Linked DNA regions of Callithrix jacchus. The protein of the gene in region 2 interacts with the protein of the main gene of each other region in a biochemical or structural test. Links are inferred from orthologs where the notes say so. Each region holds a gene or a part of one and is shown on either strand. Other genes may lie near its edges.

Evidence for each region.
Region 1: the proteins of PLAU (region 2) and plasma serine protease inhibitor form a complex in vitro, tested with the Homo sapiens proteins (2 studies listed by BioGRID). The link is inferred for Callithrix jacchus from reciprocal best matches to the Homo sapiens genes PLAU and SERPINA5.

Annotation. Positions count from the first base shown.
Region 1 is NC_133509.1:129,406,250-129,410,490, forward strand, and holds the start of plasma serine protease inhibitor, read left to right. Parts: upstream 1-1,156; 5' UTR 1,157-1,379; exon of another isoform or gene 1,380-1,563; intron 1,564-4,241. UniProt on the Homo sapiens protein: Heparin-dependent serine protease inhibitor acting in body fluids and secretions. Inactivates serine proteases by binding irreversibly to their serine activation site. Involved in the regulation of intravascular and extravascular proteolytic activities.
Region 2 is NC_133513.1:56,295,568-56,300,056, forward strand, and holds the start of PLAU (urokinase-type plasminogen activator), read right to left. Parts: upstream 2,835-4,489; 5' UTR 2,747-2,834; intron 2,477-2,746; 5' UTR 2,446-2,476; coding exon 2,389-2,445; intron 1,963-2,388; coding exon 1,938-1,962; intron 1,794-1,937; coding exon 1,686-1,793; intron 1,055-1,685; coding exon 880-1,054; intron 690-879; coding exon 598-689; intron 443-597; coding exon 223-442; intron 2-222; coding exon 1-1. UniProt on the Homo sapiens protein: Specifically cleaves the zymogen plasminogen to form the active enzyme plasmin.

The DNA.
Region 1 (4,241 bases), on a different chromosome or scaffold from region 2:
TGGCTCTAGATACCATGTGTTCCTCACTAGATGGGGCCGAGATCAGTGTCTCCCTGGAAGGATTGTTGTAACGATGAAAAGAGATAATGTGTGTAAAGCACTTGGCATAATGTGTGGTCTTTGTTTAAAGTTTGAATAGGTACTAGTTCTTATTATTTCTGTGGATATCTGACAGCCCTGTAATTGGGCCCCAAAACCATGAAGAAGGAGGAAGAAATGTCTTAAAGGTTATCAACAGACTGTGTTTTCTGAACATCAAGATCACTTTCTGGGTATTATCTCTGACTTGCTCTATCAACTCCACACCCCACCTGCAGTCACAAAACCTTCCATGATCATGACCATACACAACATACTGTGTCCCCCAGGCATGGGGACCTTGGAAACGTGACCAGGCTTCAGCCAGCATCCTGCACCGGTGTCTTGGAAATGCTCTTAAGAGTATGTGGCTGAGTTAGGGATCCTGATTTCAAAGTAGAAAGGGAGAATCCATCCAAGCCCAGAGAAATCCTGAATGCAGCTCCTTTCTAAGCAAAAAGCACTGGCCGTGGAGTCATCACCAACCCCACTCTGCCCCTAATTAGAGGCATGACTGAAAATTCCCTTCATTCTTCTGAGCCCCAATTCAGGGGTTGGTGCAGTCACAGGCTTGGCTACAGTGACCCGTCATCGCTGGTATGGTGAGACTCTCAATCCCTCCCATTTCCACTAAAACTGACTGCTGGGATCTATGACCCAGTCAGCATAGCGGGCCTGTGGGGAGCTCTCGTGCTCAAGTGCATGCTCCCCCTGATCTACAGGAAATTAGCTGCAGAAAACCAAGGAATCGAACCTTGAAAGAGAGAGGGTTAGCTAGTGCTGTCCCTTTCCCTGTCTCTAGAATACCAATAATGGGAACCCTCTTTGATCTTGTCTCTCAGGATTGCCCATGTCATTCCAGGCAAATGGTGGCCTGGCTGGCAGCACAAGGCTTGGGGAGCAGCTAGTGGGCATTGCGGTCAAAGCCTCTGGATCAGACAGCTGTGTCTGCAGGCAGGCCTGCTGGCTGGAAACCTGGCAGGAAAGGAGAGGCTGGCAGGGGCGGGGCCAGGGAGGGGTGGAGACTGGGCCGGCTGTGGTCAGTGACAAATGCTGGCTGCAGTCCAGCCAGCCCTCTGCCCTTTCCTGAGCCTGAGGGACTGCCACCTCCACTCTGTGCACGCTCAGCCGCAGGATACAGTAAGTACAGATACCACAACGGGAGGTCCCGTGGGCTTGAGGGCATGTGAGGCCAGGAGAGGATGGACTCTAGAGTTACGGGGTTTGGAGGCTGCAAAGCTCTAGAGGAGTCTCACCTTTGCAGTGTCGGGTAATAAGCAGGGGCTCCCAAGGCAGCAGAGGTGAGTGCATCCCCCAAGCTCTGTGACTTTATGCTCCACACTAACTCTGGCAGAACTTCCGTTTCCTCATAGTAAGATGGAAATAATTATACCCTCCGCATGGTGGGACTGAAGGTTAAATACAGCGGGTGCTCTCACTCAGCGTATCTGGCTATGTCTGCAGACAGGTTTGGTTGCCCCAACTGGAGGGAGGGCCTGGGTTAGTGACATCTAGAGGCCAGCGATGCTGCTTGTGATCCCACAATGCCCAGGACAAGATCACAAGCAGCATCCTGTTCAAAAGGTCAGCAGGCTCAAAGTTGAGAGACCTTTTGACCTGTTGAACAAGACCTGTTTTGAAAGGCCCTGTTGACCTTTTGAATAAGACCGTGGGGACAAAATGCTGGCTGGACAGGAGGCGCTCAGTAAATGGCAGCTTCCGTTGTTTTCTGTGCGGGGGGTCTTGGGCCTTAAGAAATCAAGAACAACCATCCAGTATTATCTGCTTCCCTGAGATAAGGACATCTTGCCTGGAGGCTGCCACCCAGGCCGGTCAAGGCAGCTGCTCAAGAGAGCCAGGAACCACTTGGCAGTTTGTTAAATGAACAAAATGTAGAAATAAAGTAAGCAGAATGTTTAGTTTTTCTGAGAGTAGGGCTTTGGGCCAGATAGACAATATTGTAAGGGGAAACCCCTCCCTTGGGACAGTGTCCTCACTCCTAGATCAGGAAACTGAAGTGTGAAGAATGCAGGCTGCAGATGCCTGGAGATGACGGACATGTTCATGGTGTTGACAGTGGTGATAAGTAACAGATGTGGACTCACCTCCAAACTTGTCAAGTTGTAGACATTCAATATGTGCAACTTTTTAAAGAGCAGTCATGTCTCCATCAAGTGGTTTTAATAAAGAAATAAAATGAAGCCAGAGCTGGCAGGGAGGGAGTTTTTCAAGGTCACCTGGCAAGCGAGCCCTGGGGTGGGGAGAGCTCAGCTCTGGGTGGCCAGCCTGGCTTTTTCCACTACTCGGTGTCCAGCTTGCAGTGCAATGTCGCTGAATCACAGAGAAGGAGACAGGGGTCAGTTCATTCATTCATTCATTCATTCTACAAAGGTGTATGGAGCATCTCTCATGACTGCAAACTCTTGAAGGTGAGAGCAGCACAGACGAGGGTCCCATGGAGAGAGAGGCCGGAATGAAAAATGTCAATGACAAATGCATATATAAGGGGACATGTGTAATTGAAGGAGCTTAGAGAGAAACAGTCAAGGGACTGATCCAGAGAATAGCTGTGGAAGGGGAAAAGGTCCGGCATGATGGGGTGTTGCAAAGAAGTGGCATTTAAGCAGAGGCCTGCAGCTGATGCGGAAGCTGGCCATGGTGAGAAAGCACGGGGGAGGATTCCAGTAGAGAGGGAAGGTGTCCAAAGGCCCAGGGATAAGACAGAACTTGCTGCATTTGAGAGACTGGGAAAAGAAGAGTGAGCCTGGGGGTACCACATGACCCAGGTCAAGGCTAGGTGGAGCCAGTTCACAGGAGCGCTTGTGGGTTAGAGCACAAATCAAAGTTAGCATCGACCTGAAACACAGGAGTTGGCCCTGAGTTTCTTAGGTGAGGAAGCGCTGAGACCATGTTTATGATTGAAGGAGATTCTTTTATATGCTGCATATAGAATGCCTTGTAGGGCAAAGAAAGGAAGCTACTGGGGTGTCTCAAGGGAAGATGGTGGGAGCTTCCATCAGGGGGCAGTGAGAAAGCCAGAGACAGGCAGCAGCTTTAAGGCCTGTTTTGGAGATAGAACTGACAAGCTTTGCTGATAGGCTGCAGTGGAACCAGAAGGCAAGATGACTTCTCCCGGGAAGTTCTGCTTCTGGGTCTAGAGGAAGCCATGATGTCGTCTCTCATCTCTGCTTGGGATCCAAGCCTCACATCCCTTTTCGTAATGAGCAGATACTGGACAGACCCTCCTCAATAACACACTTCCCACAGCTAAGTGCAACATGTGCCTGGGCAGGACTTCATTGCCCAACACAGGAAACATGAGCCAGCAGATTTTAGCTTCGTGGGTGGTGCAGTGGGGGGGCCAGGGGAAGGACTGACCAAGGCCTACCCACCACATCCCCACCACCTGTCAACTCAACTCACCTTGGCCTGGGATGACAGATGAACTCGACTGATCCCCTCTCTTCCCTCTGCACCAACACTAAAGCCAGGAACCCAGGAGAGGGGTAGCCTGACTAGGCTCTCAAGGCACTCGGTTGAGGCTGGTCTGGGGAATGGGAGGCTCCCAGGGCTTCACCTGTCTGTTAAAGCCATATATTTCCACCAGATGCCCAGGAGTGTGATGGCAAACCTGGCTTCAAAACTAAGAAATGTAAAACAAGCAGTAGGGGCTCCGCCGCCTCTTGGAGGGAACTCTCTGACCCTCTGTTTCTTCTTCTGCATGGTTAGGATAGTAAAACCGACTCCATGTTGCTGTGGAGAAGTACAAAGGAGCTAATACAGGTGAACTGCCTGGGGATACCAGGAGGGGGGGTCAAGGGGTATCACTCCTCAGAGCCTCTCAGAGACAGGCTGTGCGTGAGTCAGAGGAACCTGGATTTTAAGTCTGGTTCCATCACTCAATCGCTGAAACAAGCTATTCCATTTTGCTTAGCCACAGTCTATTCAATCTGTAAATAGAGTGAGTAACGCTTATTTTTGGTGAAGGTTAAATGTAGTAATATGTATGGAGGGTCTAGCAGGTTTTTAATAATTAGTGGTTTTACTAATTACTAATTAGGGGGCCCAGAGGGAGCAAGCTTTCTGCATCTCAAACGTGTAACCCTGGAGAGCCTAGGTGAACCCGTGGCCCTCTCCAAACAGACCCTGGGGAGACTCAGTGC
Region 2 (4,489 bases):
ACTGTGGGAGAAGAAATCGTCAGACAGTCTCATCCCATGAAATCCTGCTGCTTCTTCCTTCCCTCCCTAGAGGCCTCAAAGCAAGACTTGTCCCCAAGGTCAAGGGCTGCATGGTAAGGGGCTGATGAGAGAGAATTGAGGGGGATCCCCTTGCTGGGAAGGAGAAAGGGTTGTGCTTGGGGTGGGGCAGAAGAGTCAGAGAGGGGAGACCCAGAGCCATACATGAAGCAGTGTGTGGCGCTGACCACCCAGCAAGGGCTGATGAGGCTGCCTCCGCACAGATAGGTGACAGAGCCCCCCCGGTGCTGCCTGTAGATGGCCGCAAACCAGGGCTGGTTCTCGATGGTGGTGTATTCTCCGCCAATAATCTTAAAGCGGGGAGTCAGAGGCTTCTGGCCACACTGAAACTCTAATTCTGCTGGAGGAGAGGAGGGCTTTTTTCCTAGAGGACAAACAGAGGGATGTCTTGGGGAGGCAGGTAGGAGTAGGCATCCCTCTCAGGCAGCACCCCCTCCTTCGCCCTTCTGTGATGGAATAAGGGGACATGTGAGTTTGTCCCCTTCCACCCCACTGTCATCAGCAGGTAGTGACACTCACCATCTGCGCAGTTGTGCACCGTGCACTCTTGGACAAGCTGCTTTAGGCCGACCTGCACGTAGCACCAGGGTCGCCTCCGGTTGTCCGGGTTCCTGGCAACACAGAGAGAAAGGGGATGTCATTCCAACCCAGAGGACCTTCCCTGCCTCCTCCCCTCAGGGAAGACTCAACCAGAGGCTGCACTTCTTTCGCTACAGCTGGCTATCTGGGAGAAGGGGATGGTAACAAGGGTTTCTGGGAAGCTGTGGGGAGGGCTCTTGGTCCTCCTGGCCCCCACCTCACCTGCAGTAATTGTGTTTCCCCAGGCCCAGCTGAAGAGCATCAGATCTGTGGGCATGGTATGTTTGCTGAAGAACAGCAGCAGAGTTCCAGGACAGGCAGGACCGGCCCATGATGTCGGTTTTGGCCTTTCCTCGGTAAAAGTGACCATTCCCCTCATAGCAGGTTTTTGAGTTATCTACAAGAGAATGTGAGAATGAGTGAAAATGAGAGAATATGGAAAAAGAGAAGGAAGTTCCAATTTTTTTTTTTCCTTTTTTTCTCTTTTTTGAGATGGAGTCTTGCTCTGTCGCCCAGGCTGGAATGCAGTGGCGCGATCTCGGCTCACTGCAACCTCTGCCTCCTGGATTCAAGCAATTCTCCTGCCTCAGCCTCCCAAGTAGCTGGGACTATAGGCGTCTCTCACTACGCTCAGCTAATTTTTGCATTTTTAGTAGAGACAGGGTTTCACCATGTTGACCAGGCCGGTCTTGAACTCCTAACCTCAAATGATCCACCCAGCTTGGTCTCCCAAAGTGCTGGAATTACAGGCATAAGCCACCATGCCCAGCCGCCAATGGACATTTTAAAGATGATGTGGTTTCAGACCTGCCAAAAGCCTGGACAGGGTCTCCTTCCATCACCACCTTACATTTGAGCAGCCACTACTTCATGAGTATATGTGTTTATGCTTGTCACATAGAGATGAAGATGTCATCCACCCCATCTCCAGCTCCTAACTCCTGCCTGCTCTTGCCTCCCACCCACTCCTCCATGTCCCTAAATTTCTGGCACCCCCTCCCTCCCAGTTGCAGTGGAGATCCCCATACCTATCTCACAGTGCAGCCCTCCGAATTTCTTTGGGCAGTTGCACCAGCGAGTGTTAGAGAAGTACTTGCTGGACACACATGTTCCTCCGTTTAGACAGTCACAGTTCGCTGGAGAGAACGAAGGTGGGGTAAGTGAGGGGGAGTGGAGGTGGTAAGGGTGGGGGTAGCCTTGCAGCAGGGGCAGGGAGGGGATGCCCCCGAAGCTTTCCCAAGATGTCTGTGCAGCCATCTGTTGTAGGGGTGGATACTCACATGGAACTTGATGTTCACGGCGGCCCTGAAAGAGATTGGGGAGGAGGCTTCACCAAAGGTCCCATGCTCCCGGGACTCCCGGGACTCCAGGGTGAGGATAAACTAGCCCCAATCCCAAAACCCACTCTTCCTTCCCTCTCCCTCTCGCCTCACCCTGTTCATATCTAGTTCTCAAATGGAAGATCATGGGTTTCCAGCAAGGAAAAATGGATTGAACCAACTAAGCTTCATCTACCAGGTGCCTGCGGGCTGGGGCAGTCCTAGCGGCCTCTTCCTCCCTTTCCTGCCAGTGCGAACCCCCGTGGTACTCAAGCCTCCGCCGCCACCCTGTCCCATTTCCTGGGGAAAGCCTGGCCCTGCTGTGGATGGAATCCGGAGGACCCCAGCTCCTCTCCCCTCGTGCTGATCAGATGTCCCCAGGCAGCATCAGTCAAAGGAAGGGAGCACTCACTTTGGAGTCGCTCACGATCAGGACACAGAGGAGCAGGCGCACCAGCAGGGTTCTCATGGTGGCAAGATCGGGGCGCTAGAAGGCGGCTCTGCAAGGGAAGGAGAAGTCAGGACAAGAGGCGGAGGAGCAGGAAGGCTGGCCGGGCGGGCGACTGCAATGCAGGGGAGGTGCCCGCGGTGACCAGGCTCCCCAGCCCCGGCTGGCTCTCTTCCCTCTGGGCTCCGGGCTCCCGGGCAGCCAGGACCCGCACCCGCAGAAGACGCCCAGGACCGAGCGCGGTGACTCGATGTAGCCGCCAGGCTCCGGAGCTGGGGCTGCCGCGCATCCGGCCCGGGGCTCTCGCGATCGCGGCACTCACCGGTGGATGCGGCGGGAGGGTGAGGGCCGGTGCTGCGGGGACAGGTGGGCCCTGGGCCGGGCTCGGGGACTGCGGTCTCCGCGCTGTTACGCGGCTCGCGGCGCCTGCTCTATATCAGGGCCTGCCCTGGCCCCGCCCCGCCCGCTTTCGTCCTCCTCCCAGCCCTCACCCGCCCTGAAGCGTGCAGTGACCTGGGGGACCCCGCGTGCTTCCGAAACGCTCACAAAGATCTGGAGGCAGCACGGTCTCCAGCGGAGAGGACTCAACAAAGTCTGGACTGAGGAATCGAGAGGCTCGTGAATTCTCGGTTCTTCCTCCCTTGCATCTGGCCCGGAGCCCGCCTCAGTGCAAGGGGTCCCCAAATTGCAGAGAGGAGAGAGGGCCACGGGAGACTCTCTCCCTCGCCTAGCTCTGAAGCCTCCTGGGGTCCCCTAATCAGTTCTTCTCCAACCTCTCCCCGCTGGGCCCCAACTTGCCTAAGAGTGCTTCAGACCCCCTTGTCTGCGCTGATGGAGCTGTGAAATCTTCATCAGCGCGACAAATGTACGAGACATACTCTCCCAGAAACAGACACGAAAACCCCTGGCCAGAGGGGCTGCCTCTGTGCCTCTGTCCAGCGGCAGTCCCCAGATATCACCAACACAACCAGTGGATGGAACAAAGCCGGGCTTATTGCTTTCCACAGTAAGGGCCTTCTGATGGTGCTATCAAAGGAGGAAACGCGAGGCCAGATTCTACTGAAAATATGCAGTTTCGTTTAAAGACAGTTTTTGACAGTAAGGGCTTGATAAGAATTGGATTAAGTGTCATGGTACGATGTTACAGGACTGTGGGAACAAAGTCCTAGAGCATAAACTGTTGGTGCTTCCTGTTGAAGTATTATTGGGTCTTTTGGGAAGTGGTTTTTGTTTTTTCGTTTTGTTTTGTTTTGAGATGTGGAGTTTTGCTCTTGTTGCCCAGGCCAGAGGGCAATGGCATGATCTCCATCTCGGCTCTCTGAAACCTCCTTCTCCCGGGTTTAAGCAGTTCTCCTGCCTCAGCCTCTTGAGTAGCTGGGATTACAGGTGCATGACACCGTCCCCAGATCATTTTGTATTGTTAGTAGAAACGGGGTTTCTCCATGTTGGTCAGGCTGGTCTCGAACTCCCAACCTCAGGTCATCCGCCTGCCTGGGCCTCCCAAAATGCTGGGATTGCAGGCGTGAGCCACTGTGCCTGGCTGGGAAGTTTTAATAATGAACAGTTCATTTATTTGTGTGGGCAAGAATAAAAGTAAAGACAATGGAAACATGTAGACAGTAAACTGTGGAGGTTCTGGAGGGTGTGGAAGTTCTGCTCTCACCTCTGAGTAGAGGAATTGGGAGAATGGAGGACAAAATAAGAGGAAGATTTCTTTTTCACTGCATGTCGTTTTACACTGTTTACATTGTTAAAAACACATCCTTGTATAGCCCACTCCAAAAAAATAATTACACATGTTTAAATGCATCTGTACTTAGTGTTTTACTTTGTCATAGAGCCTTGTTTATTCTATTCACATAGTAATAATTATTTCTCAAATAAAACTGGCCTCCAGAAAAACAGATCATGTGTAAATGACTCCACCCACCCTTCCTGCCTGAGGATAAGCGCACATTTGTGTATACACACACACACACACACACACACACACATCTCTGGGCACACTTGGAGGAGCATTCTGTGGTTCTGTCACCCTCATCTCTTTCCCCTTGTGTCAGAAACC